4 linked regions of the Diceros bicornis minor genome follow. The protein of the gene in region 3 purifies or fractionates together with the protein of the main gene of each other region. This does not show direct contact. Links are inferred from orthologs where the notes say so. Each region holds a gene or a part of one and is shown on either strand. Other genes may lie near its edges. The genes, in order: MIER3, DDX5, HDAC2 and BCL11B.

Evidence for each region.
Region 1: the proteins of HDAC2 (region 3) and MIER3 purify together in Homo sapiens (affinity purification with mass spectrometry; 3 studies listed by BioGRID and IntAct, with this or other methods). This does not show direct contact. The link is inferred for Diceros bicornis minor from reciprocal best matches to the Homo sapiens genes HDAC2 and MIER3.
Region 2: the proteins of HDAC2 (region 3) and DDX5 purify together in Homo sapiens (affinity purification with western blotting; 3 studies listed by BioGRID, with this or other methods). This does not show direct contact. The link is inferred for Diceros bicornis minor from reciprocal best matches to the Homo sapiens genes HDAC2 and DDX5.
Region 4: the proteins of HDAC2 (region 3) and BCL11B purify together in Homo sapiens (affinity purification with mass spectrometry; 4 studies listed by BioGRID and IntAct, with this or other methods). This does not show direct contact. The link is inferred for Diceros bicornis minor from reciprocal best matches to the Homo sapiens genes HDAC2 and BCL11B.

What each region holds. Positions count from the first base shown.
Region 1 is NC_080759.1:19,016,019-19,023,553, forward strand, and holds the start of MIER3 (mesoderm induction early response protein 3), read left to right. Parts: upstream 1-4,260; 5' UTR 4,261-4,272; coding exon 4,273-4,281; intron 4,282-5,727; coding exon 5,728-5,752; intron 5,753-7,535.
Region 2 is NC_080757.1:47,202,247-47,209,740, reverse strand, and holds the start of DDX5 (probable ATP-dependent RNA helicase DDX5), read left to right. Parts: upstream 1-4,228; 5' UTR 4,229-4,390; coding exon 4,391-4,434; intron 4,435-5,633; coding exon 5,634-5,799; intron 5,800-6,154; coding exon 6,155-6,251; intron 6,252-6,348; coding exon 6,349-6,482; intron 6,483-6,599; coding exon 6,600-6,665; intron 6,666-6,925; coding exon 6,926-7,067; intron 7,068-7,152; coding exon 7,153-7,313; intron 7,314-7,406; coding exon 7,407-7,494. Other genes in the region: CEP95 (centrosomal protein of 95 kDa), read right to left, coding at 531-638, 1,783-1,911, 3,358-3,376. UniProt on the Homo sapiens protein: Involved in the alternative regulation of pre-mRNA splicing; its RNA helicase activity is necessary for increasing tau exon 10 inclusion and occurs in a RBM4-dependent manner. Binds to the tau pre-mRNA in the stem-loop region downstream of exon 10.
Region 3 is NC_080762.1:21,797,299-21,805,208, forward strand, and holds the start of HDAC2 (histone deacetylase 2), read left to right. Parts: upstream 1-4,655; 5' UTR 4,656-4,796; coding exon 4,797-4,848; intron 4,849-5,755; exon of another isoform or gene 5,756-5,876; intron 5,877-7,910. UniProt on the Homo sapiens protein: Histone deacetylase that catalyzes the deacetylation of lysine residues on the N-terminal part of the core histones (H2A, H2B, H3 and H4).
Region 4 is NC_080763.1:44,453,933-44,462,045, reverse strand, and holds the start of BCL11B (B-cell lymphoma/leukemia 11B), read left to right. Parts: upstream 1-4,782; 5' UTR 4,783-5,096; intron 5,097-6,070; exon of another isoform or gene 6,071-7,443; 5' UTR 7,444-7,953; coding exon 7,954-8,011; intron 8,012-8,113. UniProt on the Homo sapiens protein: Key regulator of both differentiation and survival of T-lymphocytes during thymocyte development in mammals.

The sequences.
Region 1 (7,535 bases), on a different chromosome or scaffold from region 3:
AGGATGATCTAGGTTAGAGTCTGCAAACTGGAAGCTCATGGCTAACATGATTTACTTAATGTGATTTATTTGGCCCACACTGGATTCAAAAAACTTTTAATTAGGGGCCAGCTGGTGGCACAGCGGTTAAGTTTACACGCTATTCTTCCGCGGCCTGCGGTTCACGGGTTCGGATCCCAGGCGCGGACTGACGCACCACTTGTCAAGCCATGCTGTGGTGGCGTCCCATATAAAGTAGAGGAAGATGGGCATGGATGTTAGCCCAGGGCCAATCTTCCTCAGCAAAAAGTGGAGGATTGACAATGGATGTTAGCTCAGGGCTAATCTTCCTCACACACACTTAACTAATTTTTATCAACTAATTTTTAATTAGTTGATAAATTTCAAAAACCCGGAGTTTTCACATAAAAATCCAGCTTTCCAGATGTCCTTGGGAGATCAGAACGTCTGGCCTACGATTTCACAAGGCAAGAGCCGGTCTGCTGAGTCTAAGTTAGTGTCTGCCCCACTGAGGCAGGATTTCCGTCTACCGGATCGCTACTGCCCCCACTTGTCTTCACACTGGCTTGCTTCACTCATTCATTGTGCCTGACTGACTGCCAGAGGCCCTTGAGATTGAGACATTAACTTTGGATAGTCTATTATTTTCTCTTGGGTTAGATGAATCTGTAGAAAGCTCAATATTTGTATTGCATTACTGTGGCCCTATTAAAACTGCTCTCAGTAGGTCGTATGTTCACATGGTGCCCTCAGCTTGCATGGATGGTCACTAAAAGAAACAGTGTTGTAAAACCTGCTAGTGTGTTTGAGGATCTGGTGGACGATATTTCCCTCCACATTTCCATGTTGCTATAACGTAGCTCAGGCAAGATATTTCTTTTAAAGTGTCCTGAAAATCTTTGTCTCCATCGAAGAATTTGTATTTTCCTCAAAGACAATGAGCATCAAGCAACTGATTGTATTTACTTTTTTTTTCCTTTTGCTTTGGGTCCAGAAAGCTCTAAGCCAAATTTACGGTTTAACTCTCTTATTGTGTGTTACACCTCATTACCTGCATATTCTTGTTCTAACTTTTTCTCAGGTGTTAACTTCCTAGTCTAATGAGTTTCAATGGTCCTCATTTTTTATATTTACATTTTCTTATTTTATTGTACGTATTTATTGTAAGCCATCTCAAATCATGCATTTACAAAGTTCTCTTGATTTATTTCATTTCTAAAGATGGCTGGAGGATCTATTACATTTTGGTTCTCCTTAGGGAGTTACCATGGTTTCAGTTTTGAGTTTTCCTTGCTCTTGTTCCCATCGACCACATATAAGAATTAGTCAGTTATACTGTCAGCTTTTGAGGGACAAAGACTTGTATGGTGATCCCATAGTGCCCAGCATCCAGCATCAGATTTACTTTCTATATAATGCCACCATAGTGACAGGATAATGCTAACAATAGGAAAAAGTCATTTTTTATTTCAACTCCCTGGAACAAGGGGACGTTTTATCTGTACCAACGCCTGGAAGTCTTGTCATCAAAAAGAGTGAAAGATCCATGTACATACAGTAGACTTTACACACTTTATCATAAAAGGAATGTGTTATGTAAGACTGGGTAGTAAACTATTTTTCTAGTGATTAGGAGGGGGGAAAGTAGCTCAGCTACCTTAAACTGCGAATTTATTTAGCTTCACTCTCTCTCTATGAATCCTTATTTAATACCCTGGACACAGACTACATAAACTATGTACTATGATGGAGAGAATATATGCAGTCAAAATTACAAATGCCTATACAAAATCTTTACAGTTTAATAAAAAAAGAATCTGCAGAAACTCTAATAAGTTTATGCAAGTGCATGAGTCTATATATTTCTCACATACGGCAGAATGGAACCTAAGGCTACATTTATAGTTTGGATTAGCCATGTTTTGCTAGGAAGGAAACATTTTTCCTTAGTGTTAAGTTCGAGGTAGGCTGTTAGAGACACTTTCTTCATGTCCGGGGCTGGTCTGTGGTGGCTCAGACTGTGGTCAAGCTCGAAGCACTGTTTAATGGCTCTGTCCACAGGGCGTGCTCACTGCCACATTTCTAAAGTTAATCACTTGCACTTAATTAAGTCATTTTTTACTTTGAAATCTCTAAATGCCTCATTGAGGACAGTACATACAGTGTGTGCCAAGTTTCAAAGTTCAGCTGTTTTTGAGTTATTTGACTGGACAAAAGGTCGAAAGATATCTTTCACAGCAGGGAAAGTGTAATTTTCCACGTCTTTATGATGTTTTGAAATGGTTGAAATGATTTTTCTCCTAAAATTTCCACAAATAAATAACTTTTATCGGTAAATTTAATTTTGAGATGCCTTGGCAAAAATGTTGCAAGTAACCTCCTCCCCTCCTATCCATAACCCAGGATCCATAGGATGCATTCTTGTAGGGGAGAATTGAAGGCAACCCCAGGTTAAAATCCAGACCTTTCACAGTTGGACTAAGAGCATGGAAAGTTTTAGCTTCTAAAAAGTGCCTCAACTTGTGAGATCACAGCAAAAACCTCAACTCATCTTTTTTTTTTTTGCTGAGGAAGAGATGCCCTGAGCTAACATCCGTACCAATCTTCCTCTATTTTTTAGTACATGGGCAGCCAGCACAGCATGGGTGCTAACAGAGTGCTGTAGGTCCGCACCCAGGATCCCAACTCCACCAGGGAAGCAGAGCATGCTGAACTTAACCACTGGCCCACGTGGGCTGGCCCCTCTATTATTTAATATTACATGTTTGAGCAACAGTTGGGAGAAGAGCCCTGGTGTCTGAAATCCCTCTCCTCCCCAAGTCTCTGTGGGGTCCTGCCATACTCTTCTGATTGTGTTTGGATCTCAGTTATCCATGGACCTTACAGCAGACTTCTCTTTTCCATATTTTTGGAATTTCTTTTCCATACATATTGTTATTTCTGGCCTCCTGCCTCAATTAATCGTGTGCCAAGGCAACTCCGCATGGGACTTGAACTCGCAGGATTTTTTTTTTTAATTGAAGTATAGTTGACACACAATATTGTATTCGTTTCAGGTGTACAGAACTTCTTGCAGGATTTAACTCTGTGGGCTACAAAGGAGTTGTTAGTGAATATTTTTGGGTACCGTGCTCAAAGTTGTTCAGTGTGGACACGGACCTGCTACGAGTTAGACTTACCTCTCCCAGTGAAGAGTAAATGGCCATAACGCATGCGTAGGAGCCGGTATACCTGTTAAGCCTTGTCCTCCTTCCTCCACCCAATCACTTGCCCATAGAACTAGCTTCCTTTTTGACCCTAACTAAATTTTTGGCCTTTTGGGAGGGAGGTGGGAGGCAGAGTTTTTGAGACTCAGTTCAGGGCCTTTGATATACTATTCCCACCCTTCCACAGGTCTATCAGGTGTGTACCTCTGGGTTATCCCCCAGACTATTTGGTGATTAACGACCCTTAGGACTATTCTAATTTTTTTTCGTACCTGCACAGTTTATATTTTATGAGCATCTTCGAATTGCTCAAGTCTATTCATCATCGATTCTTTGCCCTATTGATCTTTTGTCTTTTCTTCCGTACTGTCACTGTCTTCCAGAGCCTGTTTGGCAAATGACCACTTCCACCGTCCACGAGCCAGTGTACGGTGGTCTGCATCCCCCATTCCTGCAAGACTCTTCGGGGAAACCGCAAAGTGCCTGGTCGCTGTCCTCTCATCCCGGACTGACGCTGCCATCCATTAGCCACTTCTCCCATTTCCCGGGGCTTCCTCTCGTCCATCAGTCTACTCCATCGATCACCTCCTCTCTTCTTTCTTAGCGAAGTCTGTCGAGTTGTCCCTCCAAGTCTCCTGCCCGCTTCCCCCACGCCCTACCGGACCAGAGTGTCTGTCGGTCGGTCCTCAGCCACCCCGGCCGATTCTCGGGCCTCGACTGGCCGGACGGGGGTCTGCCCCGCGCCCGTGCTTCCATCCGTCCCCCGCTCGCCTCCGATTCGGCAGGAACTTCACTCCAGCCGAGCGGGGAAGGGCGGTGCGCGCGGGTGCGGGCTGGGCGGCCGGCAGCGGGCGCGGGGCGCGGGGCGCGGCGAGGGGCGCCGGGCGGGGTGGGCGTGCGAGGGGCCGGGGGCGTCGCGGGCCGCCCTGCCCTATAAGGGGCCGAGCCGCCTCCGCCGCCGGGCGGGTGCCGGGCGGACCGCGGCGGCGGCGGCGGCTGCGATTGGCTCAGGCGCCCCATCCGGGGACTGGGCTCGGCGCTGCTCGTTCGCCCTAAAGGTACCAATATGGCGGAGGTGAGCAGGGGAACCGGGCAGGAGCGGCCGGGCAGGAGCGGGCGCCCGGCGGCCCCCCGCCTTCCCCGGCCGGCCTGGGGGATCCGGGGCCCTTCCCGCCGCCCCACGGGGGACGGCGCGGCGGCGCGGGGGCCGCGGGGCGGCGAGGGGCCGCGGCGGGGCCGGCCGGGGGGCGGGAGCGGGCGCGGGAGCGGTCTCCCTCCGGGACTAGGCCGCGGCGGCTCCGGCCCCGACGCGGCCGGGCGGCGGGGCGGGACGGGAGGCGGCGGCCGGCGGCAGCGAGCCCCGGCCCGGGGACGGTGCCGTACCGTGCCCCCGGGCAGCTGACGCGGGCCGCCGGAGCCTCCGCGCCGCCCCCCGGGGCCGGGGTGGGTGGAAACCGGCCGAGCCCCCCCTCCGCGGCCGGATTGCAGAACGGAGAGCGGGCTGCGCCACTGCCCTGCGGGAGGAGTGCTCGGTGCCCCCGGCCCACCGGGGCCGGGCTGCGGCGCGAAGGAGCCTCCCGCTCCACTTTGCTCGGGGCGCGCAGGCGAGCGGGATGCGCGGCCGCCGGGCTTCGCGGGAGGCGAGCGGGACTCCCCGCCCCGCAGCCCGGGAGGAGCCGGAGCCCCTGGGGGTGAAGGGGGCGGACCAAGATCCTCGACGCTCTTTCCAGGGGCTCTCGGTAGCCCCACTTTCCTCTGGGCTGGAGGAGGGAGGCAGGGGGAGTGAAGCTGCCCTGGCCGTGTCCCTCGGGACTAGTGAGTTGGGGGGAGGGGGTGGCGCAGCAGGAGCCCCTCGGCTGGAACTCGCTTTGGCGAGGGTCTCACTGGCGGGCCCGAGGAGGGACTGAACACCCTGGAGAGAACCAGCATCTCTGAGACTGAGGGGCCGCGTCTCCGGACTCAGGAGAGAGGATGGGGGGCTTGCGCTTTGGTTGGGGGCGAATGTCCGACTGCGAGCCGGCCTACGCTCGGGGGTAGAGGACAGCCCAGGAGTTGGGGCTCCCGGGCCCCAAGGGATGGACTAGGTGCTCGGAGGGCGAGTCTGTCCCTTCCAGGAAAGGTTGTTGCCTTGCGAAGTGTTGTTTGGGGCCGTGGAGAGCCTGGTGGGATTTGGGGGACTCCCGAGATGCCGGGGATGGGGTACCGATGCTGCGAGCTGACTGCTCTGGGTTTTGCTTCTCTGCTTTGTAACTTGCTGAGCTCCAAGGGGCGGCGTGGAGTTGCCTGTTAGACTCCGGGCTTCGTCCCGGGTCTGCGAGTTTGTACACTGGGGACTCGGGGAGGAAGGCGAGGCAGCCAAGAGGGGCCCGAAAGGGGCCGGGAGCGATTGGAGCGAAGCTACGTCTTGCACTTTTGGCAGCTGCAGAGGAGCGCTGGGCTCCGCCTCCTCTGCGCCCTGTTGCCGGCGCTGTCTCTTCCCCCGGCAGCGCGATCTAACCGCACGTTTTCTTCTCTCTCCTAGGCTTCTTTTGGAAGTTCGAGCCCAGGTTTGTCCTATTTTCTTACCTCTTCAGTGGGTCCCAAAGGGTAATGGGGGCTCAAAGATCTATTGCTAAAGGTCTTCCCACAAAAATTTGTCCTGCTAGTTTTTCATCATTTGTTTTCAAGAGTTTCAATGTACATTTTGGTAATTTAATTGTTCGAGGAAGGAACAGTTATACTATTCTCTTTTTTGCTTGCATGTTGAAAAAATACCTTGTTACAAAGCTGCCAATAGACATGTTCTTTTTAAGTAATATATCTTTAATTCTCACATATCTTGTTTTTTCTCCAAGCCTGGAACAGTTTAATCACTAACTTGAGTAGTTTAGTTTAGATTTTAATTTTAGTTTCTCCAAGAAATCGACTCTTTAATTCGTCAGAACTTTGGGGTTGCTTATATTGATTATTAACCATGACTCCCCATCTTCCCTTATTTGGTCTTATAAAATTTTCATAATTGGGAAATGTCTATAGATTGTGTTAAAATTGAAAATTGAGAGGTAAAGCTGCCTTAAAAGAAACACAGAATTTCCGATTGGCACAGAAAAGTGGTAATGTAGAATTTTTGAGGTGAGACAACTTTAGATTGTCTAGTACACTGTTTCTTATCCTTTTTGGGGTCAGAAACCCCTGTCGGGATCTGATGAAAGCAAGAGACTCTCTCTCCAGAACTCTGCACATATGCATAATTGCATACGTTTTGGGGTTTGTAGAACCCCTGAATCCCATCCATGGCAAGGACCTTTCCTCATGTGCTAAAATGTAAGGACAGCTTTGTTTCGATTTCTCATCCTCTTTCCAGCCCCCTCTTGGCTGCCTCTTTTCCATCTCATAGTCCCCAGGAAAAGTACCTCTGAACTAGTCCAACTCCCTTATTTTACACTTGAGGAGACTTTTAAATAACTCTACTAAGAATCACCAGTTAATAGCAGAGCCTGGATGAGCTCCCAAGTCTTCCTTTATAACCTGTTGCTTTAGAGGGAACAGTCCATTTCCTTGCATATTACTTTGTGTATTTAGTCGACTTTTAAGGTCTTGCTTGATTATTGTTTAAGGTATTATAAAATAATTAATCAACACCAAGTAGAAGAAATTTGTGGCTATTTTAAGAACAGCTGTCTGCATCTTTACATTTAAAAATTGTTTTAAAAAGTTTCTCTAATTTTGAGACATTTTCTTTGTTATAACTGATTTCAGGGGAAGACTATGTACATGATGCCAAACATCTGGATGATAATGGAATTTTTCCGTTTTGCATCACTGTCTGCTTTTAAGAAGTTGCAATGTAAATAAAAAGCAAAAACGCAGTGTGGTTTTGGTGTTTAAACAAACTTATAACCTGTTTTTAATCAATTAGCCAATTTTAAAGAGAATTTTAGAGCTAGAAGAGACTCTTGAGGTCATTTAAGCCAACCCTATGTATTTTACAAATGAAAAAGTGGACCCAGGCCCAGAAAGTTTAAATGACTTGCCTCAGGTCCCAGAAAGGCAGGGAGAAAGCCAAGAGTAGACCCTCCGACCTTTCATTTCTCGCCCTTATTGAATACAGTCCACTGTAAGGGGGAAGCCTGCTGTGCGGAGTGATGTGTGGATTACAAAAGAGGAGAGAGCTCTGCCCTCAGAGAGGTGGAAAAGTTACCATTTATTTCGTCCCTGACACTGGCATACCACAGAGGTTTTCAGGAATTCCTCAAAAAAAGAACACTTGTATTGGTTGATATTCTGCTTTTGAGCTATTTAATAAACATTTGTCTTTCTCTTTAAAATTAAGCTAACTGCCTATACTTC
Region 2 (7,494 bases), on a different chromosome or scaffold from region 3:
CTTTGTTTTTAGGAATAGTAGCATACTCTGCACATTATCATTGTAAGTGCACCACATTTTTCTCACACAATATATAGTGGAGATTGTTCCACTAACGTGAAACATTGTACCTAAGGAGCATCATCAATCATCTTTCACAGCTGCAGAGTAGTTCCCTGTAATGAGCTATCATAATTTATTTAACCTGTCCCTAATAATGGACATTTAGGTATTTCTAATTTTTAGCTACTACAAACAAGCAGGATGGTAGCTTTAAAATAATAGAAGAACAACAAAACATACCTCAAATTACCAGCTAGGATACTTACATCTCAGACCCAGAGCCATCACAAACTCAATGTCTGACTCTTCTGGAAAAGCTCTCAAGGATGGCTGACTTAACTACACCAGTCAACTGTCTTGGCTCAGTCTTGCTGGTTAGTCTATTTCATAAGATTACTCATTTGTTAATTAAACAATGTCTGGGATTCTACCTAACAAATTATTTTAAGTAAAATGCAAAATTATCTGATAGCTAAGTATATACCAACCTGTTATATGAGACAAGCTGACCTGCAGGTAATCCAAGGCCAATGAATCAATTACTGCTTGTACATTGTGAGCGTCATCCTCTTGACTCCTAGGAATAGCTATGAGGTCTGTGGGAAAAAAGCCACATAATTTTGCATCTATGAGGGGCCAAGTTTTCACCTATCTGTCTCTGACCAGGCTTGTGAGTAAGCTCCACTGCTACAAAACTAAGCTCTGCCCAAACAGAACAGGCTATAAAGTACAAATAAAGTTAACAGAGCCTGAATTCCACACAGCAGAATCTTTACTGGTTGAATAATTATTGACTGAATATTTATTCAACCAAAATATATATGAACGTGCTCTACAATGAGCACCATGCTAAAGGAAGATAGAGAGGTCCCTAAATTCAAGGCGATGCTAATATTCTAATAAGGGGGCAATACATGTGGTGACACTTTAACCCATAACCATGGGCTGCTTTCCATGAGAGAAAAAAACCCACAACAGGTGTGAAAGTAGAATTCTTGCATGTCGTGTTAAAGCAGCCTATTGGGAATTATTGGTACAAAGGATTAAAAGGTCAGTATGGACCAAAGTGCAGAAAGATTTTAATATCAACTTAAATTTGGAGTTTCTCCTCTGGTATTGAGGAAGATGAATGTTTTGGGGTAGGATGAAAAAAGTATTTTAAAGGACTAGTCTAATAACTACATGCCTCTGAACTCTAAAGACGGTTGAGACTAGCATGAAAGATACCAGGTAGAGACCATCCCATTATTCCAAGAGGTGATGAGGGCACTGACTCACGGTAACAGGGGGAAAGGAAGAGAGACTATACAGAGCTTATAATACTTAATGGTTATCAACTATGAAAGAAACAGAGGCAAGAGAGGAATTTATGGATAAGGACTCTGAGGTATTTAACCAGGGTAACAAACAACAATTCTTATCCATAATATTGCTTAAGCAACAGGACCCAACAAGTTTCAAAGTTCCACTCAATTTTAGAACCTTTGAAGGTAGATTGATGGAAAAGGTATGACTTTCACAAGGCATTAGGCATAATTAAACAGCGATGACCAAGGCTGTTATTACAGGTGGGTCTCCTAGGCAGTCATTAAGGTAATGAATGCAATATTTAGATAAAAATAAGAAGCAGACAAAGAGAAAACTCAAGATTTTATAAACACCATAGGATCTAACTAACAGCACTAGAAACTTGCGGCCTAAGATACAGACAATATTACTCTCACTTTTTAGTACCCTTACCTGGCACCTTTTCTCCCAAAATGGATTGATAAAGAGCAATAAAAACATTAGCATCACAATCTTCTAGTTCGTGTATCCTCAGATGTATGTGACATTTCAAAAGAAGGTTATTGGCAATGGTTACCCACTCTGTTGGGAAAGGGAAAAGACCAACCTTAAATAGCACTAGAAAGAGTCATATACATACATTAAAAAAAAACAAGCCCCACAAAAACAGACACTGAACTCTGTAGAAGATAAGGGATTTGATTGTTATAAAATTTCAAAGACCCTCCTAGGCATGATTTTTGAAAAGATGTATTTAATTTCTTGGGATGATTTCCAGAGTGCCAGAATTTCAATGTAGCCAAAACTACGATGTGAATCCAGCTTTCACTGTTGCAATTGAAAATTTTAAGTTACTTATTGTAGTTCCTATTTTACAAGCCATACATAGGTGTTTTTATGTAAAATATATTTACAAGTAAATGGGAATACTGTCATAAACAAGACAGTTAATGATAATCTGAGATTACTAGAAACTAATTAATGGATGTTGCTTCAAATTCCCAATAGCATTAGTCACGTTTTTACCCAATTATCTTGTGCAAGTCAGAATTTCTCTGGTGTCCAAAAAGGGGCTGTTAAGAACTGGAGTAGTGATGCCAACACTACTACACTTGTTGGTTTTTAAAATTATATTTAATGCATATGAACGAAAATATGGGAAATATATAAAATGTCCCTAAATTCAGAACTAGTACATTACCAATACTGTTGAACTTTCCTGCCTACCACCCCACCCCACCCCCAGATACTGTTGGGATTAGGCAAGTTATTTCAAGGGTTTTTCGACCAAAGGTAATTTAGAAAGCTTGAAACATTTGTTCCCTGAAATGACTGGCGATTAAGGGGAAAGTTCTTTTATTCCGTATTCGATATCTTCAGTATGTCCTAGAAATAAATGTGTGTATGTGTCTTCAAGGCACATTATCTCCCTCTCTCCGTGTCCATCCCTCAAAGCTGACCAAACCATGACAACTGGTTTGAAGGCTGTCCTGGAGAAAAGGATGAAAGCGTCCTAGACAACCAAATCAACTCGTTTTTCAAGTGGTGCTAGACAAAGCCGGTAACTCTAGAGGGCACTGAAGAGAAAAATCCACCACTATTCTACTTTGGCAGGGGCATCAACAGATCTTAAGAGTGCCATTCCTCAGAAATTCAATACAGACGGCAGGTACGACCTGAGTTCCCACAGCGAGGAGCAAAGAGCACACCGACAAGGGCTAGAGTCCCGAAAAAAACACTTGCTGACCGCCCTTTTGCACCAGGATACCGGCGTGCTACGGTCCTCGCCGCAGGGCCTCCTCTCCCCCGCCCCAAAATCGCGCTCGGTGGCCTCGAAGCGGACAGGGAATGGGGTTAGGAGACCCTATCCAGAGAGCCCACCGTCTACGACCGGGTGTGTCACCAGCCCCGGCGGCAGCCCAGTCCTAGTTGAAGCCGGCTCGAGGCCTCAAGATAAAATGGGCAGGGCCGTTCAGGGATTTGGACAGCTTCAGTCCACACATACCACGGCTCCAAGGCGAGACTCACCAGTCTCCGACCCGGCCATGTCGCGGAGGCAGGTCGGCACCAGACTCCTGGCCGGGCGCGCGGTGGACGGTGTCCTGGAAGGGCCGCAAGGGGCACACACAGTGCTGAGAAGAGGCGGAACGAAACGAAAGCGCAGCGAAGGAGGGGTGAAGGAGGGAGGGACGTTAAAACGGCCTCTCACTGCTGATTGGTCATCAGAGGAGCACTTCCTTTCGTAGCACGCGCCGGGGCGGCGGTTTGCGGAGTCGAGGTACCATTCTCCGCGACAAGATCCTGCTAAGGGATTCTCCGGTGGGTGGGTTTGACAGCCCAGGTCACCCAGCAGCCCTGGCCGGTCTCTCAGGGGCTTTAGCACGGCACTTCCGGTGAGCTATTTCGTTTTGTATTCTTCCGCTGATGCCAACTGGGGAAGTAGTGCGGTCCACTCACCGGATGGGGGGGCAGCCACGTGACAATGCCAGGCTCCGCCTTCACGCCTTCTCGTTTGGTTATGGCCGTGAAGGCTCTTTGGAGACGTAAACATTTCCAAGTGGGCTGACCATTTTATCCCTTGGGCCGGACCAGGAAAAGGGCAGGGTGGCTTCCTTAAGGTGTAGACAGACGAGAAAAGGGTGGAGTCAAGAGCGTGCAAGCTAGGGCCTCCCAGTGGTGGGTGGGCCCAGCCATAAAAGGGGCGAAAAACGGGCGACTCTGAGGGAGGGGCCTGGGGGGAGGGGCGAGAACACGGCGGATTCCGGAACGCCGGCGGGCGTTGCGGCCTCAGCGCAGGGGCGGGGTGATTAGGTCATAGAGCGGCTCCCAGCATTCTGTGCGGCGGAGGAGGCGGTCCAGGCTATAAAACCGGCTGCCGGGACGCGGCCGGCACCTCATTCATTTCCACCAGTCTCTTGTGGAGCACTTCTTGCTCCAGTCATCGCTGTCCCTCTGCTTCTGCCGCCCCCGCAAGGCTTCGCCGTCGTCGAAGCCAGCTCCAGCGACTCGTCGCACCCGTTTCTCTCCACTTCGTTCCCCGCCAACCGCAACCATTGACGCCATGTCGGGTTATTCGAGTGACCGAGACCGCGGCCGGGATCGAGGGTAAGTGTGAGAACTGACCTGTCAGGCCCGGCGGGTGGGGGATGGGAGGCCGATAAGGGTCGCGGCGGGCGGTGGAGAGGGTGGGAACTTGTCTTTTTCAGCCCACCCATGGGCCTCTTCAATGGAATGTTTGATATTTGTCCAAAAGTGACTAGAAGAGATTCGCCTGTTAACGGCCCTCGAGCTCGCCCTTTGTTTGCGGGGGCCATCAGGGCCTCGGCGATTTAGCCGCTGTTGGGAGAATGCGGAGGAGCGTATTTCTAGGGCAGGCGAGCGCGACGCTTCGAGGCGGACGGAGTCGCCGCTTCTAGGTGCAAGCTTTCCGGAGGTGTTTTAGGGGCCCCCAGGATTCAGCGGGAGCCAAGGGAGCCGCCTCTGAAGCCTCCGCGGGGGCAGGGGGGTGGCCGGCGCCGCGGGAATCGGCCATGTGGCTGAGCCGCGGGTACAAAATGCCGGCGTCGGACATGGCGGCGGCGCCTTTGTTACCCCGCCCGGCGGAGGAGCTCAAAATGGCAGCGTCGAGAAAATGTGGCGCAGAGAGAAATGCGAGACAAAGGGGGAAGCGCCGCCCCAGCGGGAACGCCGCCCGGCCGACTCCGCCTGGGTCGGGACTCCTCCCCTGGTAGTCGCCAGCTCCTCCTCCTCTTTTTTTCGCGTTATGTAATTTTGCTACCTTGCTCCGGGGCCTTTCCGCGGGATCCCCCAACTCCACTGGCTTCAGCGTCCTGGAGAACCCTCATTGTAATGCTCTGGCTGCCTGTACTGTCCCGTTATCCACTTAAAACCAAAGTTGCTGTGCTTGAAACAGCTGAGAAATAACGTAGCTGTTAAGCTTCTCCTTTCTTGTATTGTTTCTCTCCCAGATATTTAATTCATAAGCTTGTGGGAAAGACTGGTAGCCACAAGCTGTTGTCTGTACTTGTAGTCTGAACTTCTGGCGTTTGGGCAGTGTATTTCCGACCTGATAAATCCCGGGCTGTTGACTTAGCTTCAGTAGTGTGTACTTGGGACCACGGGAAATGAGATAGATAGGATGCTGATTGTGGGTTTGGGAGAATGACCATCATTAAGGCTAGAGCTAGATCTTAAACCTCCAAAAGTCTTTAATTGATCTTGAGTGTGTGCCAAGGGTTAGTAAGTCTGTCTATATGTAAAGCCCTGTGTAGGCGTTTGAAAATGTAACTCTTTTTTAATTTCAGGTTTGGGGCACCTCGATTTGGAGGAAGTAGGGCAGGGCCCCTATCTGGAAAGAAGTTTGGAAACCCTGGGGAGAAACTAGTTAAAAAGAAGTGGAACCTTGATGAGCTGCCCAAATTTGAGAAGAATTTTTATCAAGAACACCCTGATTTGGCTAGGCGCACAGCAGTGAGTAATTTCGTTGGCCCCACTAGGCTGTAACTCAGTAACAACTTATAGTAAATGGAAGTCGGACCAGAAAGGTCTAGCAAATGACCAAGTTTTGAGAAATTACTGCTTTTTGACTTGGTAGTTGGGGAAGAGGTGTTACTTTTTGGAAACAGTTGGCTTTGAGTTTTTCTACTTAGAATGGTTGAGTGTAACACGATATGGGGTTCTTGGGCTATATAGGGTTTTCATATGTGGATCCAGATTTAAAATGGCAACATTAATGTAGCTAATCAATTATAAATTTAGGGGCCTACTGATTGTGTTAGAGGCGGTTATCATGACACACACTAGATTATTGTAATTTGTGTTGTAGCAAGAGGTGGATACATATAGAAGAAGCAAGGAAATTACGGTTAGAGGTCACAATTGCCCAAAGCCAGTTCTGAATTTTTATGAAGCAAACTTTCCTGGTAAGTGCTACTTTTGTTTCTTCTCCTTTTTTTTTTTTAATTCCCCCCTTTCTCTTGGCCCTACTAATTTTTACTAAGTTGCTATTGCTAATTACAGCAAACGTTATGGATGTTATTGCAAGGCAGAACTTTACTGAACCCACTGCTATTCAAGCTCAGGGATGGCCAGTTGCTCTAAGTGGATTGGATATGGTTGGAGTGGCACAGACTGGATCTGGAAAAACATTGTCTGTAAGTTTGGGAGAACTTTTGAGTTACTCTGTGATGGGTCTAGAGAACATGGATTGGGCATACAAAGAAACCAGAAGTATATTAATGGTACCTTGTTGTCTGCTCTCCTCTGAATAGTATTTGCTGCCTGCCATAGTCCACATCAATCATCAGCCATTCCTAGAGAGAGGTGATGGGCCTATTGTAAGTATATATGTATTTTCTCTTAATTTTTGGCTAGAAGTGTAATTTAGAGATTTTATAGACTATATAGCAAAAGACATAATTTGTGGTGGTTTTGTGGGGAGACTCTAGTTATCCTACTCGAGTTGACTGGAGACAAAGCATTTTAGGGTATTGGACAGCAAAATAATATGCCACTGTAAACTGATAAATTAGCAGTTGAAAACTGGGATTCAGGTCTCTGGTAAAAGCTCTTCTGCTTTCTGTTCCTCTTTCCTTAGTGCTTGGTGCTGGCACCAACTCGGGAACTGGCCCAACAGGTACAGCAAGTAGCTGCTGAATACTGTAGAGCATGTCGCTTGAAGTCCACTTGCATCTATGGTGGTGCTCCCAAGGGACCACAGATACGTGATTTGGAGAGAGGCATGTAAACAAAAAAGGTTCTCTTCATTACTGATGTTGCTAAAAGTTTTGGATGTCTTGGTTACATTTATGTGTTTAATTGAAGGTGTGGAAATCTGTATTGCAACACCTGGAAGACTGATTGACTTTTTAGAGTGTGGGAAAACCAATCTGAGAAGAACCACCTACCTTGTCCTTGATGAAGCAGATAGAATGCTTGATATGGGCTTTGAACCCCAAATAAGGAAGATTGTGGATCAGATAAGAGTGAGTGCCCTTAAATATGTTACCTCTTCAAACTTAGCTCTAAATTCATTCTTACAGTACAGTACTTTTATTTTTTTATCCGAAATTCTTTAGCCTGATAGGCAAACCCTAATGTGGAGTGCGACTTGGCCAAAAGAAGTAAGACAGCTTGCTGAAGATTTCCTGAAAGACTACATTCATA
Region 3 (7,910 bases):
GACCACACAATCTAATCAGTATATTTGCCACCAATTCCCATGAACTTCTCTTAAATTCTGTTAGTTGGTTGACAAGGCCCTCATCTTTCCTTTTTCAGAAAGCTTTCTCTCTCAGCATCCTAGCCTCATGACCAAAAACTTTGAAGAAATGTGAAGGGTCTGAAATTTTACACTACTTGCAAGCTAACCAGCTAGCCAATCACAGTTTCATAGATACTAGTATAAGACACAAGACTTCCATGTTAAAGACAAAGGATAATTTATTATTCAAAACAGCAGTGACCAAAGTATCAGCATTATTTTTTGTGCTGTTGCCCTGAGCCCCAATTCCTACAGACCAAGAGGAAGAGGGCCAGATGACACCTGCATTTGCAGTGGATTGCCTACAGGAGAGGAACCCTGAATTTAGGGAACCTGAATCTTTTATAATGGGTAGTATGCATGCGTGCCCTTTGCTACAGACAGGGTCATTTTCTCTATCTTCCAAAGCTGTTCCCTGTACAAAGGTCTTTGAATAGATTGTTTGGAACAAAAGGCATTCAGTACCTTGGCTCTCAAGATATTCAGAAACCCATGGAGAGTTGTTTCCTAACAGAAACCTATAGTTTCTTAGTAGAAATTACCAGAAGTCACTAACTTCTAATGCATATTTTGCATGAGTTAGGATGGTACTCAGCTGCATATAACAAAATCCTGACTACAGTGGTTTAACCAATGTGTTTGTTTTGTTTTTTCCCTGCATGTAACCAGAAGTCCAGAGGTAGACAGTCCAGGTCTGGTACAGATATAAATGAGGTCATCAAGGACCCAGGTCCCTATCTTCCTGCTCCACCATCCTTAGCATTTATTTTTCATCTGATGGTCCCAACATGCATACTCCACCTCCATTTGTACAGTTCTGGTGCTCCGTGGAGAGAAGTGGTTATCAGATTTGAAGGAAAGTCAAAAAAAATTGAGCTAGGAAAGAGGAAGAATTAAGATATATACATAGAGTAGTTAGGAGACAATAGCAAGTAAATTTTCCCAGACACAGTGTGGGTGTAGAGTTTTACTAGAAAATTTGTGCAAGTAAATAGATTGGATCAAAGTAATACCATGTTTTGTGGGTCATGAGCAAAGCATTAACCAATTAACAAGCTAACAGGGGTTACTTGAGGGGTTTAATGTAACTGAGTAACTTAGTACATAAGCTATGATTCAAAAATATATTTTTAATGAAAATGGGCAATTTTAAATTTTATTACACAAATGCACAGTTCAAATAGGACTATAATCTTTCATTGTTTGGTGCTACTGTTCTGATTTATGAGTTACAGCTTGTAGTACTGTGTAAAAATAGGCACCATGCTTCCAGGATCAGAATTCAGCTTGAGACTGTTTTAGTTTGTGACAACACCCCAGCGTTAGTCACTGTACTCTTCTACATTCTGTATTATCCTATGGAATTGCTACCTAGAATTTAACACCTTAGAGCAGAAACAAGCTTATGCAAATAATTCTTTTATAGCAACTAAAAATTAAGCTATCTGCCGCAGTTGATAGCAGGATTTAATTTTTAGCATAGACTGAGGCAATCAGTTTCTAAATAGTCCTATCTCTAAATAATCCATTTATGTTTAACAGATCATTTCATTGAATAATCTCGAAGCACTAAACATCTTCAAGATTGGAAAAATAAATTCCTATAGACAGAGAAGGAACTAAAGAAAAATAGTTTAAGAATAAAGACAATCTTCAAGTACTATGAATGAACCACGAATTCTAGAATTTTGTGAATGAACCATGCTCTCAACTTTTCTTCTACTGTATATTGTCTAAAATTCTCTTTTTTCTAATGGTAAAAATGTTTGATAGAGATGAGTTGGAATATAGTAAATGAAGTTTGGAGCTTTGTCAATGGATTTCAATAACTGATTCTACGTTTAGCTCTCATGATCTAAAGCTCATTATATGTGTTTAGGGACATAATTCTCATGGCCTGCTCTTACCACTGGATTAAACTCCTTCTCCAATGCCAGTTTCTAAGGGTAAAATAATTTGCTTCTATTGGCTTAAAATTATTAAATAATAAATAATGTAACAGGTTCTTCAACCATTCAAAATATATGTCTGGGTTCTTCTTATGAATTCAAGGCTAGGTGCTATGGATACAAACAATAATTATTATTACTATTATTATACAGTAATCATAATAATCCTTTCTATTCACATAGATCTTTATTGTTGAATGTTGTATTGTATTGAATTGTATTGTATTGAATATTGAATACTATTGTATTGAATTGTATTGTATTGAATATTGAATACTATTCAGCCATAAAAAAAAGACAAAATTGTGCCATTTGTGACAACATGGATGGGTCCTGAGGGTATTATGCTAAGCAAAACAAGTCAGAGAGAGAAAGACAAATACCATAAGATTTCACTCATACGTAGAAGATAAACAAACACATAGATAAGGAGAACAGATTAGCAGTTACCAGAGGGCAAGGGGGTGGGGGGAGGGCCAAAGGAGTAAAAGGGCACATGAGTATGATGATGGATAAGAAACTAGACTATTGGTGGGGAACACAATGCAGCCTATACAGAAACTGAAATACAATAATGTACACCTGAAATTTACACAATGTTATAAGCCAATATGACCTCAATAAAAAAATTTTTAAATACTATTCCATATTAATTTTCTTATTTGAGCTACTCAATATTCATATGAGGAATTACTCTCCGAGTAATACAGCCCCATTTTAGAGATGAGGCAATTCAGACAAAAAAAGTTTAAGAGACTTGCCCCAAGTCATAAGCACTGGAGATACAATTATGTGCAAGACAGACATGGTCCCTCCTCTCCTGAAACTCTATTCTAATGAGAACATTCAGAGAAGTTGTGGGCAACTGTAACATGGTAAGTATTGAGCTAGAGGGGTAGAAGTCACAACCACCATGTGAGGAGCACAGAAAACAGTCTTGGGGGGAGGGGGTAGAGTCAGGGAAGTTTCCTGAAGTCTCATTTCAGACTTCACTATGTGGGCTCTGAGAAGAACATTAGTTTCTACTAAATTAACTTATTCTGTTCTCAGAAACTAACAAGTTGATTTTAGACTTGATAGAGCAAAACTTTGAAAGTCAGTATCATGTAATTAACTTTACCTCTAACCTAAGTGTAATGTTTCTTACACTGTGATTCCCGTACCAACTGTATCAGGTACCTGGGGTGCTTGTTAAAAATATAGACTTGAGGGAGGAAAAGCTGGGCTACCCTGGAATTACTTTTTCTAAATTTGGGGGGTGGGGGAGGAGGTCCAGGAAAATTCCCGCTTTAAGTAGGAACACCTTGGGAATTTTGACGTCAAACAGCAAAAATAAAGAGGGTATTTTTGGTAGCGTCTCTAAATGGTTCCTGTTTCAATAAGGACTTTTTTTTTTTTTTTTTTGATGGGGGTGTGGGAAAATGTGTTATATTTGGGGGAAATTGTAACTGATAGAGGTGGGCTAAAAGTGCTACACTGCAGACTGTCCGCCCCCGACCCCTCACCCGCAAGATGGCTGGTTTACAGTGGGTGCTTGATAAATGTTTGTTGACTTGTTGAACACAGGGACACAGCTATTTATAACTTCCATGAGTTTTGCAAGTCCTTTTTCTTCCCTTTCTGCTCCAATGTCCAGCCAGCATCAGCAGCACAGTGGAGTAGCTAGCGTGTGTGAATTGTCGGGAAAGAATGAATTATTCAAATCCCAGACCATCACCAGTTGAGAGAACTAAATTCCTTAATCTCCCCCATTTATAAAGAAGGAATAGAAATAATACTTACACCCCAGTGTTGTTGGAAGTCTATACTGAGTTACAGGTTATCTACTATAAATAGGTATCAATGAAACATGTTGTAAATGCAAATACTTAGAACCGTGCCTTACACACAAATTGCATTCTTTAAACGCTCATTCAAACCCAGACAGTACACTCTACTTTTTAATCTGTTAACAGGTCCTTCTACCAGGTCAGAACCTCGGAGCAATTATCAGTAAAAAAAAATCAAAGAACAAATGAATAAACGTGAAAACCAAGGAGACCCGGCACAGGGTCACTGGACTACGGACTAGCCGGCTCGTGGCAACCACAAGGGGCTCTAGAGGGGTCTTTCTCCGCCCGGCTCGCGGCACGTGGTCCGCTCGGGCGGGAGCTTCGCGACAGTGGGGGAGGGGAGCGGCGTGCGACGACGCAGAGGGGGTCTCCGCAGCCAAGGCTACGGTTGGGGAGGCGCGGACTGCGCACGCTCGGGATAGGCGCAACCACTGTGTGAAGATCCGGAGGGGGGAGCGTTCACCAGGCTCCATGCTCTCTTTATGTAAATACGGAGCGAAAGCCTGTCCTTTTTTCTCGTTTTACGACCCTACTTGGCACTGCCCTCTGCAAGCTGTTCATCATTGAAGGCCTCTTATGCCAAGACTGAGGAGGCCTATTTCTCTAGTCGTGTCCCTCCCTCCCCCGTGGGGGCCACAGTGGACGCGTCCCACCTCCCCTCGGCCTCCGGAGGTGGTTGGGCTGCCCCCTCCCCCTCCCCAGTGTCGCGAGTTGGCGCCGCTGCCAACCCTCGCTCCGCGCTCTTGGCCCCTCGGCCGGGCGGTACCGAGCCCTCCCGGCGCCCCCTCCTCGCCTCCCACCGGCTCGCCCTTCCCCGCAGGACTGCCACCCGCCCCTCCGCCCCAGCCCTGTTCTCTCCCCGCCGAGCCGCGGCGGCCGCAGCAGCAGCAGGAGGAGGAGCCGGAGCCCGGGGGCGGCGGTGGCCGGGGAGCCCATGGCGTACAGTCAGGGAGGCGGCAAGAAGAAAGTCTGCTACTACTACGATGGTGAGGGGCCGCGCCGGGCCAGGGGGCGGCAGGGCTGGGGCGCCGGGCCTGGGGCCGCCGTCGCGAGTGGGCGCCGGTGCTGAGGGGTGGGGAGGAGGAGGGACCGACGCCTGGCCGCATCTTCACCCGTTCCCGACCCGACGCCGGCAGCGGGAGACCCGCGGAGGTGCGGGCGGCAGCCAGGGGACGCCCCACTCCTCCGTCCTGCCCTTCTTCCTCCGGCGGGTCGGTCTGCCGCTCCGAAGTGGCCGCCTCTGGGACGTGGCCGGCCATCCCCGGCTTCGTGGGTGCGGCGAAGGGGACGGCCCTCGCCGGCTCCTCTCCTGCCCGCCACTCGTGGGAGCGGAGGTTTGGGGGTGCCCTGCTGCGGCCTCTTGCACCCGACCCCTCCCCCGGGTCAAAATACCTACCCCGGCCGAGCCTGCACACAAAGCCCTGCGGCCTCGAGAGCTCCGCCCCTGCAGCCCCTTCCCTCCCCATCCCTGTGTGCTCCCCTCCCCTCGGTCTGCGGCTGGACCGAGCATCTTCTTTCTCCGCCTCCAGCCTCGCCCCGGACCACTGGACCCGGGTCGGTGCTGGAGAGCAGTTCCCGAGGGTGCAGGCCCCCCTCCGGCCTGGGGCACACTCACACCCCTGTTGTGCGTGGGCTCCATCCCTCTCCTTTGTTCGCCGGGTTCTTTGAGCGCCACTTTTCTCAGGATTCAAATGAAAAGGCTGCGCTTCCTCAATTAAAATCAGGGTTTTCGAGTTTGAGGTAGTCAGCCTTCGCGGGAAACATGACGGTGGTAGGGAAACGTGGAGCTGTTAATGCTGGTGTTGTGGATCCGAGACTCGATGGGTTCCGGCTTGCCTCTGTGAGAGGTGGTTACCACCCACTTCTTTGTTGCTCTTTGTTCGATCAGGAAATACACCCTGCTCTGGAGGTTTAGGAGAGCAGGGGCATCTTGCTTGTGAAAGCTGTTTCTAGGTGGTGGGAGTCCTGGTGTAGGAAAACTTTGAGGAGTAGTGCAGAAGTACTAAATAATCAGGTAAGCTTGAGCTCACGGTACAGTAAATTGTAAAAGTCAGGTAATTTAATTTTAGGGGTTCTTCTAATTTGAAGTTTGGGCAGTAACATTAAATCTCTGAAACCTGTTTCCTGCGCTAGTCTGAATTATACTAAGCGGAGTAGTAACCTGTTTTACACATTTCATAAATAAATAGGCAATAGTAAATAGTTGGTAAATAGTTCCTAGTAGGTTACTCTCCAAAAAAAGAATTCTAAAATTTAACGAAGAAGCTAGGCTCAAATGACCTGAAAGTCCTATCTGATTTGTCTGAAGCAATATAAATTTTGGAAGCTGTTTGCTACATTCGGTGTACTATAAATCACAAAATCTTAGAAAGGTAAAAAGACCTTAGAGGATTGGGTGAGAATAAATCTGACTTCAATTTGAAAATGGCCATCCCGTATCTCTTCAGTTAGCGAGGATGAATCTTCTAATGCCTGTTTATATAAAATAACCACCTGTGTCATTTGTGGAAAAATCTAAAATCTTAGAGAACGAGTAAGTTGTCTGATATTTGATAGCTAGTACTAAATAGTAACAGCCATATTTTAAAAATATGTTTCGAGAGGACCATGTATGTGTGTAATACATATTGATTTGAAATTGTGCCATTGTGGAGGGGTGGAGATGGGAGTATGTTTTAATTTTAACATGAATTATTAAAGTTTCTTAAAGTTCATTCTTGGAGAATTCATGCATGTTTTAGGTCACTGGTAAAACTCTTGCTTTGCATTCCCTGATCAAATTGAAAAGTAAACCATGTGTGTAAGTTACTTTTTAAAACTATGTTGTTTCTAAGGTTTAGAGATTTGTTCTTGTCAGGGCTTGAGGTAAAGAAGGCTGGTTTTAAAAAGTTGGGGGGAGCACAGGACAGATAGAACTGTTTGGTGGTTACCAGGGGCTAGGGGGTTGGGTGGGCACAAGGGGTGGAGGGATGCACTTGTATGGTGACTGACAAGCAATAATGTACAACAAAAATTTCACAATAAAAAATTAAAAAAAAATAGTTTGGGGGTACTGAGGCTCTTCTTGCTGCTGTTGGTTGCTGTTGACAGTGATAGGCTCTAGTGGAGTAAACTGCTTGTACCTTCTTGTCACAGGCTTGAACTGTGGAACCAGGGGGTACACTTAAGTGGCAGTTTTATAAACAGCTGTTTGTTCGTTGGCTCATTTATGATGAGCCTTTGTTGAGGGAATGGGAGCCAACTCTGGTCCCAATGGCGGGATGCAGGCTTGATAGGTAGAGTGGGAGTATCTAAGTCTCGTGATTGTGACTTAATCAATACTTTATAGTCGACCATTCAGCTGCTTCACCTGGTGGCCAGCAACAGGTGTGGAACTGAATGTAGGGAAGTCTCTGGTTGGATTGTCTTTTGTCCAAGGCTCTTCCTTGACTCATTTTTAGAATAGAATTTGTCGTTGCTTACATTTGAAATATTCTTTGGATTTTTGTGGGGAGTCTAATAAAATATTCTGCAGAGATTATTAAATTTGATAGGTATCGTTATGCTAATTATTAGTATATGATAGTGTGCTAAGCTCTGCACAATTAATTCCAAAAGCTTTTTTTTTAATTGTGAGGAAAGAGGATGCAAGTAAAGCAGCTTCTGCACCAAAGAGTTCTATGACTCGAAGGTATACAACATGGTCTGGATTGGGAGTGGGTAGTATCGGTAGAAATAGGGCCTGAATAATCTGCCAGCCTAAATTAACTGGTTTTAACTTGTTGGTAAAGCAAGTAGATGGAAGAAAGATAAGGAGGAAAAGAGTGAAGTAGCAAATTTCTGTAACCATAGGAATCCTACCTTTAGGCTTACTGGGACCATTAGGCACACTCTTGGCAGCAGAGAGAATGTCTAGCAGATATGGAAAGGACTTTTAAAGATATATGTATTTTTCCCTGTAAATTTTAGTCTTCAGTATTATACCCTTTAGATCACTGGAATGCTGGTTCCAAGTGAACCTTCAGGCATTGATGGATGAGGTATCCTTAAACCTTTGAGGGAAAGTCAG
Region 4 (8,113 bases), on a different chromosome or scaffold from region 3:
TTGCATGGGAAGGAATACACAGGTGGTAATTGAAAACAATAATTTGTACTGAGGTCCAGGTGGAATGGTTGGCTGAGGAAAAGACTCCCGTCACCGTTGGCAGCAGCTTTGTGTCACTGTGGCCTCTTCCCATCCCGTCAGCCAACATTGGTCAAACCATCCAGACACCCTCACTCGAGTCCCCTGTGGCTGGCGCGTTTACTGCCAGGGCTTGTTGGCCTTCCCATCACGGCCTGTGCATCCCGGTCTGGAAACTGAGGCCACAGGGCCCTGAGGGGAGCCAGGGAGTCCCCTGCCACCTCGGTGCAGCTTCTGTCCTTTCCTTCTTATGCTTTTCGACTTGCCTCTGGGTTGGGTGCATTGAGGTACCGGGAGCTAATTAAGGTGTTTGATAGATTTCAATTGGAGTATGAGTTCTTGCCAGAAACATCGACAATTCGATTCCCCAAACACAACGTGGAGTGTTAAACCCACTAATGCTTTATACATTACTGTGTTCCTTCCCAGCCGGAATGTGTGGTCTGGGTACAATACCAAAATGGTCCCCAAACAGGCCTCCTCACTCTTCAGTTCTCTAATTGTTCCTGTTAAGCAGATACAAATAATGAAACTGCATTTCCAACTGAATCCCAACAGCTGAGGAATCCACCCATTTGAATCCGGAGGTCCAAATTCAGACGTTAAAAAATCGACCGTAAATCTGCCCTGTATTTAGATGGCAGACCATCGGAGACAGGTCAGAGATGGGCGTCTTCGCTCTCACCCACTGTTTCATTTCAGGACACATGTGGGAGAAAGGGAGAGAGAGAGAGAAGAGAGAGAGAGGCAGAGGGGCTTTGTCACAAGTTCAAATGGAAACGTTATTGCCACATCCATATTTTAGAAGCCATTGTTGTTTCAACGATCCCAAAGGCTTAAAAATCACAGTGAAATCATTTTTTTTAAAGGATTCAGATTAAACTAATACCAGAACGCACAGCAATTCAGCGTCTCGGTTTTCCCTGGGCAGCATTAATTATCTTTTGTTGTAGCAAATTGTTTGCCTTGTAAATTGAGCTGAAAGTGTGTCTTCACGCAGATGCAATGTTTTAATACGTGCACAATAGAGCAACTTTTATAATTTCCACGTACTATAGGTATACTATTCCATCTCCAATAATGCGCCCGTGGTTCAAACTTTGTGTTGCAGAAGCTTGTGTGCTTGTCATCTTGCAACATTAACCCTTCTCTATTAAATAGAGGGAACGCCACTTAAGTGTTTTCTAGGATACAAACTACCTTTGTTAATTCACTCGAAAGCATACGTGCCTGTTTCCAAAACTACGAAACAACAGATGAGATCTCCCAGATCCTTTTTTCTTTTCCAGCTCTGGAAGGCATTTGCGAAACAAGGTGTTGGCTGGTTTTTATTTTTATTTTTTGGTAAGTACCGCCTTGCAGCCTTCTCATTAGCCTGCCTTTTGGAGGGATGCTAGCCTGACTCGTGCTTCTCTCTCCTTCTCTGTTCTTCCCTAGGCCAGTACTTCCCCGGATTCTCTTTCCACTGCTTTCTTTGTGGAGCATCACAGCACAGACAGGAGTTCTCAGAGCCTGGGATTGGCGGTGGGGGCAGAGCTTGCAACTGAGTCAGACTTGTCTACAACTCCTGCTTAGCATTTACTGAAACTTCCTCTTTCTCAAACTGCTTAAGGATACAAACTAATTAATCCTCACAGCCTCATAAAACCCCTTGTTAGGAAGGTGATCATTATTGCCTCCATCTCGGCCGCTCCCCGTTTCCTATCACCAGACTCAATGCAGCGCCAGTTCTGACGGCAGCGCCTGACAGCCAGAGTCGGAACTGAAAATTCCCTTCTGCATCCCAGTTCTTTCCCCAAATGAACCATTTTAACTCTCTTTCTCTTCCTTGTCTGTGGTCTAAATAGGGTAGATTGACAGTCACTAGACCCCTGAATTTAAACTGGTGTGTGTGTGTGTGTTGCACTTTTAGTCATACAATTTGGAGACTCAGTGACAAGAGGGAAAGCAGCAGAGAGACTCTTTTGTACAACACACCACACACCACACACATACACGCATACACACTCCCCACAGCCACTCTGATCTCTGTGCACATGGTGGGGTGGGATCTGGTGGAGTCTGATTGTCTTGGTGAACAATATTTCTCCCAAGTCGACCAACTGGGTGATGCCAGTCCCTACCGAATTTGAATTGATGACTCAACTAAAGCATTAAAATTAGCAAGGCAAGAAAATTCCAAATGAGGTGAGAAAGCTGTAGAAATAGTTCCAGATCCCCTAGTACTGAGCCATTCAATATCATTTCTGATGACAGGGACAGAGCTAGGAACAGTCAATGTGGGTGTGAGTCTTTTTCATATACGGAGAGCTGGGTAAGTATTTTTTAAGGAAAATAATACATGAATCAGGAAGAGTGACTTTGATTTAACCCCTTGCAGGCTGCAGCTCTAAAGACAGCAGGCAACGATGCCTCTTAGTTTTTCTAGAGCTTGCCTATGCTTCCCGCAGTTAAGCAATGGTTGGAAATCTACTACTGTATCAAGCCCAAATATTACTTGCAGAAATAAGTAAGGTGCAAATGATGTCATGTTTTAACAAAAGCGATGTTACTAAATTCAGGACACGGAGAGAATCATCCAAACGATTATCAGAAGGCAAGTTTTGTGGTCCTGTCTCTGCTATAAGGTGACAATCCGAAAAACTCCTCCAAATGCAGCAAAGCCTGAATTGAGTGCTTACGGCATTTAGAAATTTGCCGTAATTTTCAGAAATGATATAAAACAATTTTATAAGATATGCCGGGAAGCCCAAAAGGCCTCTTTTGTCTTTTTATGCTTCTGGATTTGATAGCTCCTAGAGATTCTAGAACTGTAAGAAGAAGATAAGGACCATCTCGGGAGCCTTATTAATATGTACATAAATATGACTTGCTTAGTACCTCCATTGCGGTTTCTTTGAAAGTTAAAACAAGTCAATCCACTGATCAGAACGCTGCATTTTATTTATCCTCATTTTCACAGTCAATAGCGTTTATAGATCCTGAGGAGTAGAAATTAGCAGACACAGTTTGCTTCTGAGTCTGCCCTACACCTGTGAATACGAAAAGATTCGCCTTCTCTTTGCACGGATTTTTTTTTAAAGCACCATAGATGAACCGGTTCTGTAAGATGTGCTGTTAAGTTTGTATATTGCTACAAAGTTATTTGACTACATTTTAGAGGATGGATCCATGTTAAAAAAAAAACAGCAAATGAAAAGTCGATTTTTTTCCAGCATAAACGTTGGGAGTTCTCATTTCTACTGACACTACTTATCTTGATTCTTTCCAAATTTTTGTAAAGACGTCATAGAAAATCTAACAGCTCAGAAGGCAAAGATAACATTGTAGAATCGCAAATAGAGCCCACCTCAGCTAAGAGTTAAGGATTGAGAATCCTTCAGAGAATTTTAAACAAGAAGCCTGGCTAGGAAGTCACGTGTCTGTTTAATCTGCCCCCCCATGCGTGGCATGGTACGAGAAGCACACATAGGGAATCAGAGCCCCACACAAGGTTAATAAAAATGCACTCTGATTTGATGCAATGATTTCTGATTTCTGAACTATTCTTCTATAAAGAAATTTAAAGTGACTGAGAATATGGGGGATTATCTGCTGGAATGCACTCTGAAGCTAGAAAAAGAAAAGCAGGGAAATATTTGTGAGTTCAAAAAGCTTTTTGACATCTGCTGTTTTATCTTTTTTTTTTAAAGATAGTGCAGAAAATGTGGTATTTCTTTCCATCTGATTGCAGTCTGCACAAAGCCACAGCCCTGGGCCCAGCACCCAGTAGGTCTGCAGCAGGTGCTGGAGAAATGAGTCTGAAGGATTGTAATATGACTCAGGACCACGTTTGTACTTGTACTTTTTCCTCTTTTATTTTCATATGTTAAGCACCCGCTCCCCCTCACCCCCCCTTTTTTGGGGGACGGAGTGACTTTTATTCTAAACAAAGACTTGGTAGATGAAGTGGTGGGGTGGGGGGGTGTGTGCGCGCGCCGTGACCTTCTCTGAAGAGTACTGGGTCCCCTGTCTGCCTGGGGTTCTGAGGAAAGGGTAGGGACGGGGCTGTGTCCCGGGCTCCCCATCTCCTCCCGCCCCGCCCGCCTGTTGTCTGGGCATCCGGAGAGTGGGGAAACATTAGTGTGGGCCAGCTGCCTAAGCCGGGCGGGGTCGAGGGAGAGGTCAAGGTCGGCGGAGAAGCGGCTATTGATCCGGCTTGGAACGCGAGACAGGGAGCGCAGCAAGACTAAAGGGGGAGCTGTGAGACCAGACATTAACAGCTTCCACCGCTAATGATGCCCGTGCCAGACGGGCAGAGGGAAAAAAAGGAGACTGGAGCGGCAGCTGGGATCGCTTGCTGCCTGCGCCCGGCCGCCTTTCGGGAGAGAGGAGGAGGAGGAGGGCCAAGGGGCCAGCGCGGGCTGGGCAGGGGCAGGGCAGCCTCTCCCGGGCCGCCGCGAGGTGGAGCGCGCCGGCCGGCGGCGGCGTGTCCGGCCCTGCGCCGGCCCGCCCGCGCGTCCCTCTTCCCGCCGTCGGGGCAGCGCGGGGCCAATGAGGAAGTGCTCCCCGGGTCAGTCGCGGCCCGCGCCGCCCCCTGCCCGCTACTTCCTGCTGGGGGTGGGGCGGGGTGCCCCCTCCCCAGACTCCGCCGCCCGAGCGCGCGGGGGGCGGCAGCTGCAGCCGGGGCCCCTGGGCGCCCCGCGCAGTCCGCGGAGGGCCCCCTTTCTTGAAGGCGGCTGCCGCGTTCCCCGCAGCCACAGACCCGGTCCCCCTTCCTTGTTATCATCGCCCCGAGGGCGAGTGTCGCGTGTCGGGATTTCGGGTGCCGGAGCGCAGGCGGCGCGGGGCAGCAGGCACGCGGCGGCGATTGGAGTCCAGACTTGCCCCTTGCGCTGTGTAACCTTGGGCAAAACGCTAACCTTCTCTGGACTTCACACGGCCAGTTCTCGGAAAGAGACCTAACAGCTCTTCCAAATTTAAGAATCTGGGCGAGTTGGGATGACCGGTTTATGGTTTTCTTAAGAAGTTTATGAAAGGTGCGTGTGGGCATTTTTTCTTACTTAGGCCACTTTCCTGGAAAGATTTTCGCGGTGGGGCTAGATGAGAGGAGAGGGAGGCGCTTCTAGACTTTGGACCACGTGGAGGTGGAGTGTGGGTTAGGAGTAGTGGGCAGCGGCGTGCAGTGGTGGGGAGGGGGAGTGCCGACTTGCCCCCGCCCCTTCCACCGCCCAGTCTCCACCCGCTTGGCCGCCGACCCTGCAGCCCAGTCCGCAAAACTGCATGCTGGGGCACATTTTATTGTTATTATTTTTGGGGGGGTGGTTTAGGCAGGGAGCTCTTTCTGGCCTCGCTAATGGGCGCTGCGCTCTGTTGAGTTGCTGGTACGGTGACCCCACCCGAGACCTTGGAGGCGAACAAAAACCCCATGTGCCCCCCAAGGAAAAGGACCCGAGGGAGGCGGCGAGCCCGGAGGCGTCTCGGCCTAACCAGTCGCTCGGGTGAAGCCGCCGGAGCCGGGCCTGGGGGCGGGGTGGGGTGGGTGCAGCTGGGCTCGCCCGCGAAGCCCAGCCCTGAGCCAGGCCCCGACCCGCCCTGGCCGCTTCCCGGCCCAGACCAGGAAACCCTGAGAAGGGAGAGAGGTCCAACCGCGTGGCGCGTCCAGCCCGGGAGGTCAGGTCATCAAATAGACGAGTTGGCCACGGCCTGAGGAGGGACGAGGCTGGGGGCGGCGGAGTGTCCATGCAGACCGCGGCCTGGCCTTGTCCGCGGGCCACGGACAGGCCCCCACAACTCCTCTTGTCCTCGCCGGCTGGAGATCAAACGGCTGACAAGGCAGCTGTGTCCTTCCCAGTCTGACCGGAGATTTCAAGTCCTGCCCTGGGCGGAGGAGCACTGGGGGTGGGGGCGTCACTTTCAGGTTGCAATAATTGTCAGTGAGTGGGAGGGAACTGGGGGACCTGAGGGGATCATCCACAGGAGTGTCTTCAGAGTACCGGCCCCGCCTACTTCTGGGTCAGCGCCGACAACTCCCTCTCCCACGTGGAGCACCCCTGCCCCCTTAGCCCCCACTTCCTGCTGACTCTGGTGTTAGGGGGTGGGGCCCGGATTTGACCCGCAGGAGTTAATGGGGTGAAGTGGAGAGAGCTCACAGATTCCGGTGAGCATTCCTTCCGGAATGGGACTCAAACAAGGTCTCATGTCCCCCTCCCCCAAATGTGCTCTTAATTCTCTCCTCTGTATATCTTTTATTTTGTCCACTTCGCTCTCCCAGAGTTTGTAATATCAGGATTTATATGGAGGTACTTTTTGGAAGTTTAACCCCGACCCCCGAATAAAACAAAAGTAAAAACAACCAAGCTACTTTTCCAGGGAGATGAAGCGACTGACCATGTCCCCCATGTCGACTCCAACCCTCCTCAACGCCGGCCCCCCCCCGACGTCCAAAAGAGCTTTCGATGGGTGGGTGGGGACTTGCGTTAATTCAACTTACTTCCACGCACGCAGCACTCCGCCCCCCTTCTCAGGGGGTCCTACTCCCAGGAGGGGAGGAGGGATGAAGAGGGTTTTCTTTTATTTAAAAATATCCTGCCCACCGTCTCCCCCCTCTTTGCGCTGCCAGTGCACGGGGAGAAGAGGAGCGCACAAAAACGCTGTTTGCACGTGTGGCCGGCCTGGACTGCGGGTGTGCGCACGGGCGAGTGTGTGTGTGTGTATGTGTGTGCGCGCGCGCGCGAGTGTGGCTCTGTGTGTGTGTGTGTGCTTTCTTGTTCTCTTACAGGGTACAATGTTAAAAAGCCACCGCTAGTCGCCCCCAGTGCTCCGACTCTCTGGGTCTTTTTGTCTCTAGTGCAGATTAAACGTCACGTCCGCACTTGAACTTGAATTTTATCCCATTGTACAGAGGCAGCCCCAGCCATAGAGAGACCGAGAGCTCCCAGAGAACCCGGACTCCGCCATCTTCACGTTGCAATCTATAGCTCCCAGTCCGCGCCCGCACCGACCCAGGCGCACTGGGCGAGCCGCCCCTCAGCCCAGCTCCCCCCGGGCCCGCGGCGCCAGGGGAGCGCTGGGGAGCGCTCGCGGGGACCCGGCAGCCTCTCCGGCCGGCGCCAGCCTGCCAGGTGAACTGGGAAGGAGCCGCTCCTGGAGTCAGTCCCCCAGAGCCTCGGAAGGGTCAGTCTCCGAGAAAAAAAACAGGCAGCCCGCAGAAAACCCAGAAACCACCGAACCGGGGCAGCTTTACATTGCTGTGGGTTTTTTGAGGGGGCGGGGTGAGGGGATACGAGACAAGTCCTCAAGTTTTCTTTTCTTTTTTTCCTTTTCTTTTTCTTCTTTTCTTTTTTATTTGTTTGCATTTTTTCCCCTTTTCCCCCCTCCTGGTAGAAGTGCGCTTTCCACCTACCAGACCCTGAAAGAAAGTCTCAGGAGCCGGTGCAAAATCCGGTTTAAGTTCAAGAAGACATTTGGAAGTCCAGGAGGCCAAGCAGTTTGAAGAAGTGTAAGAGATTTTTTTTTCCTTCAGAAGAATATATTTTTAAAGAAACCGGCCACTCCGCGGCAAGCAACAGCATTTTTTTTTTTTGCCTCTTTCTCCTATTTTAGATCGAGAGGTTTTTCTTTTCTTTTTTGTCTTCTGTTTTTCTTTTTGCAAACAAAACAAAAAACAGCATAGAAGAAAGAGCAAAATAAAGAAGAAGAGGAGAAGGAAGAGAGGGCAAGAGAGGAAGGGAAAAAAAAACCAAAACACCAACCCGGGCAGAGGAGGAGGCGCGGCGGCGGCGGCGGCGGCAGCGGCAGCGGCAGCGGCAGCGGCGCGGCGGCGGCTGGACCCCCTCCCCCGGTTCCCCCCATCAGTGCAGCTCTCCGGGCGATGCCAGAATAGATGCCGGGGCAATGTCCCGCCGCAAACAGGGCAACCCGCAGCACTTGTCCCAGAGGGAGCTCATCACCCGTAAGTGTCTGCGGCGTGCGCGCGAGGGGCCGGAGGATGGGGCTCCGGGCGCCCGGGGCTGGGGACGCCGAGCGAGGCGCAACCCGGCCGGGCGCCGAGGCA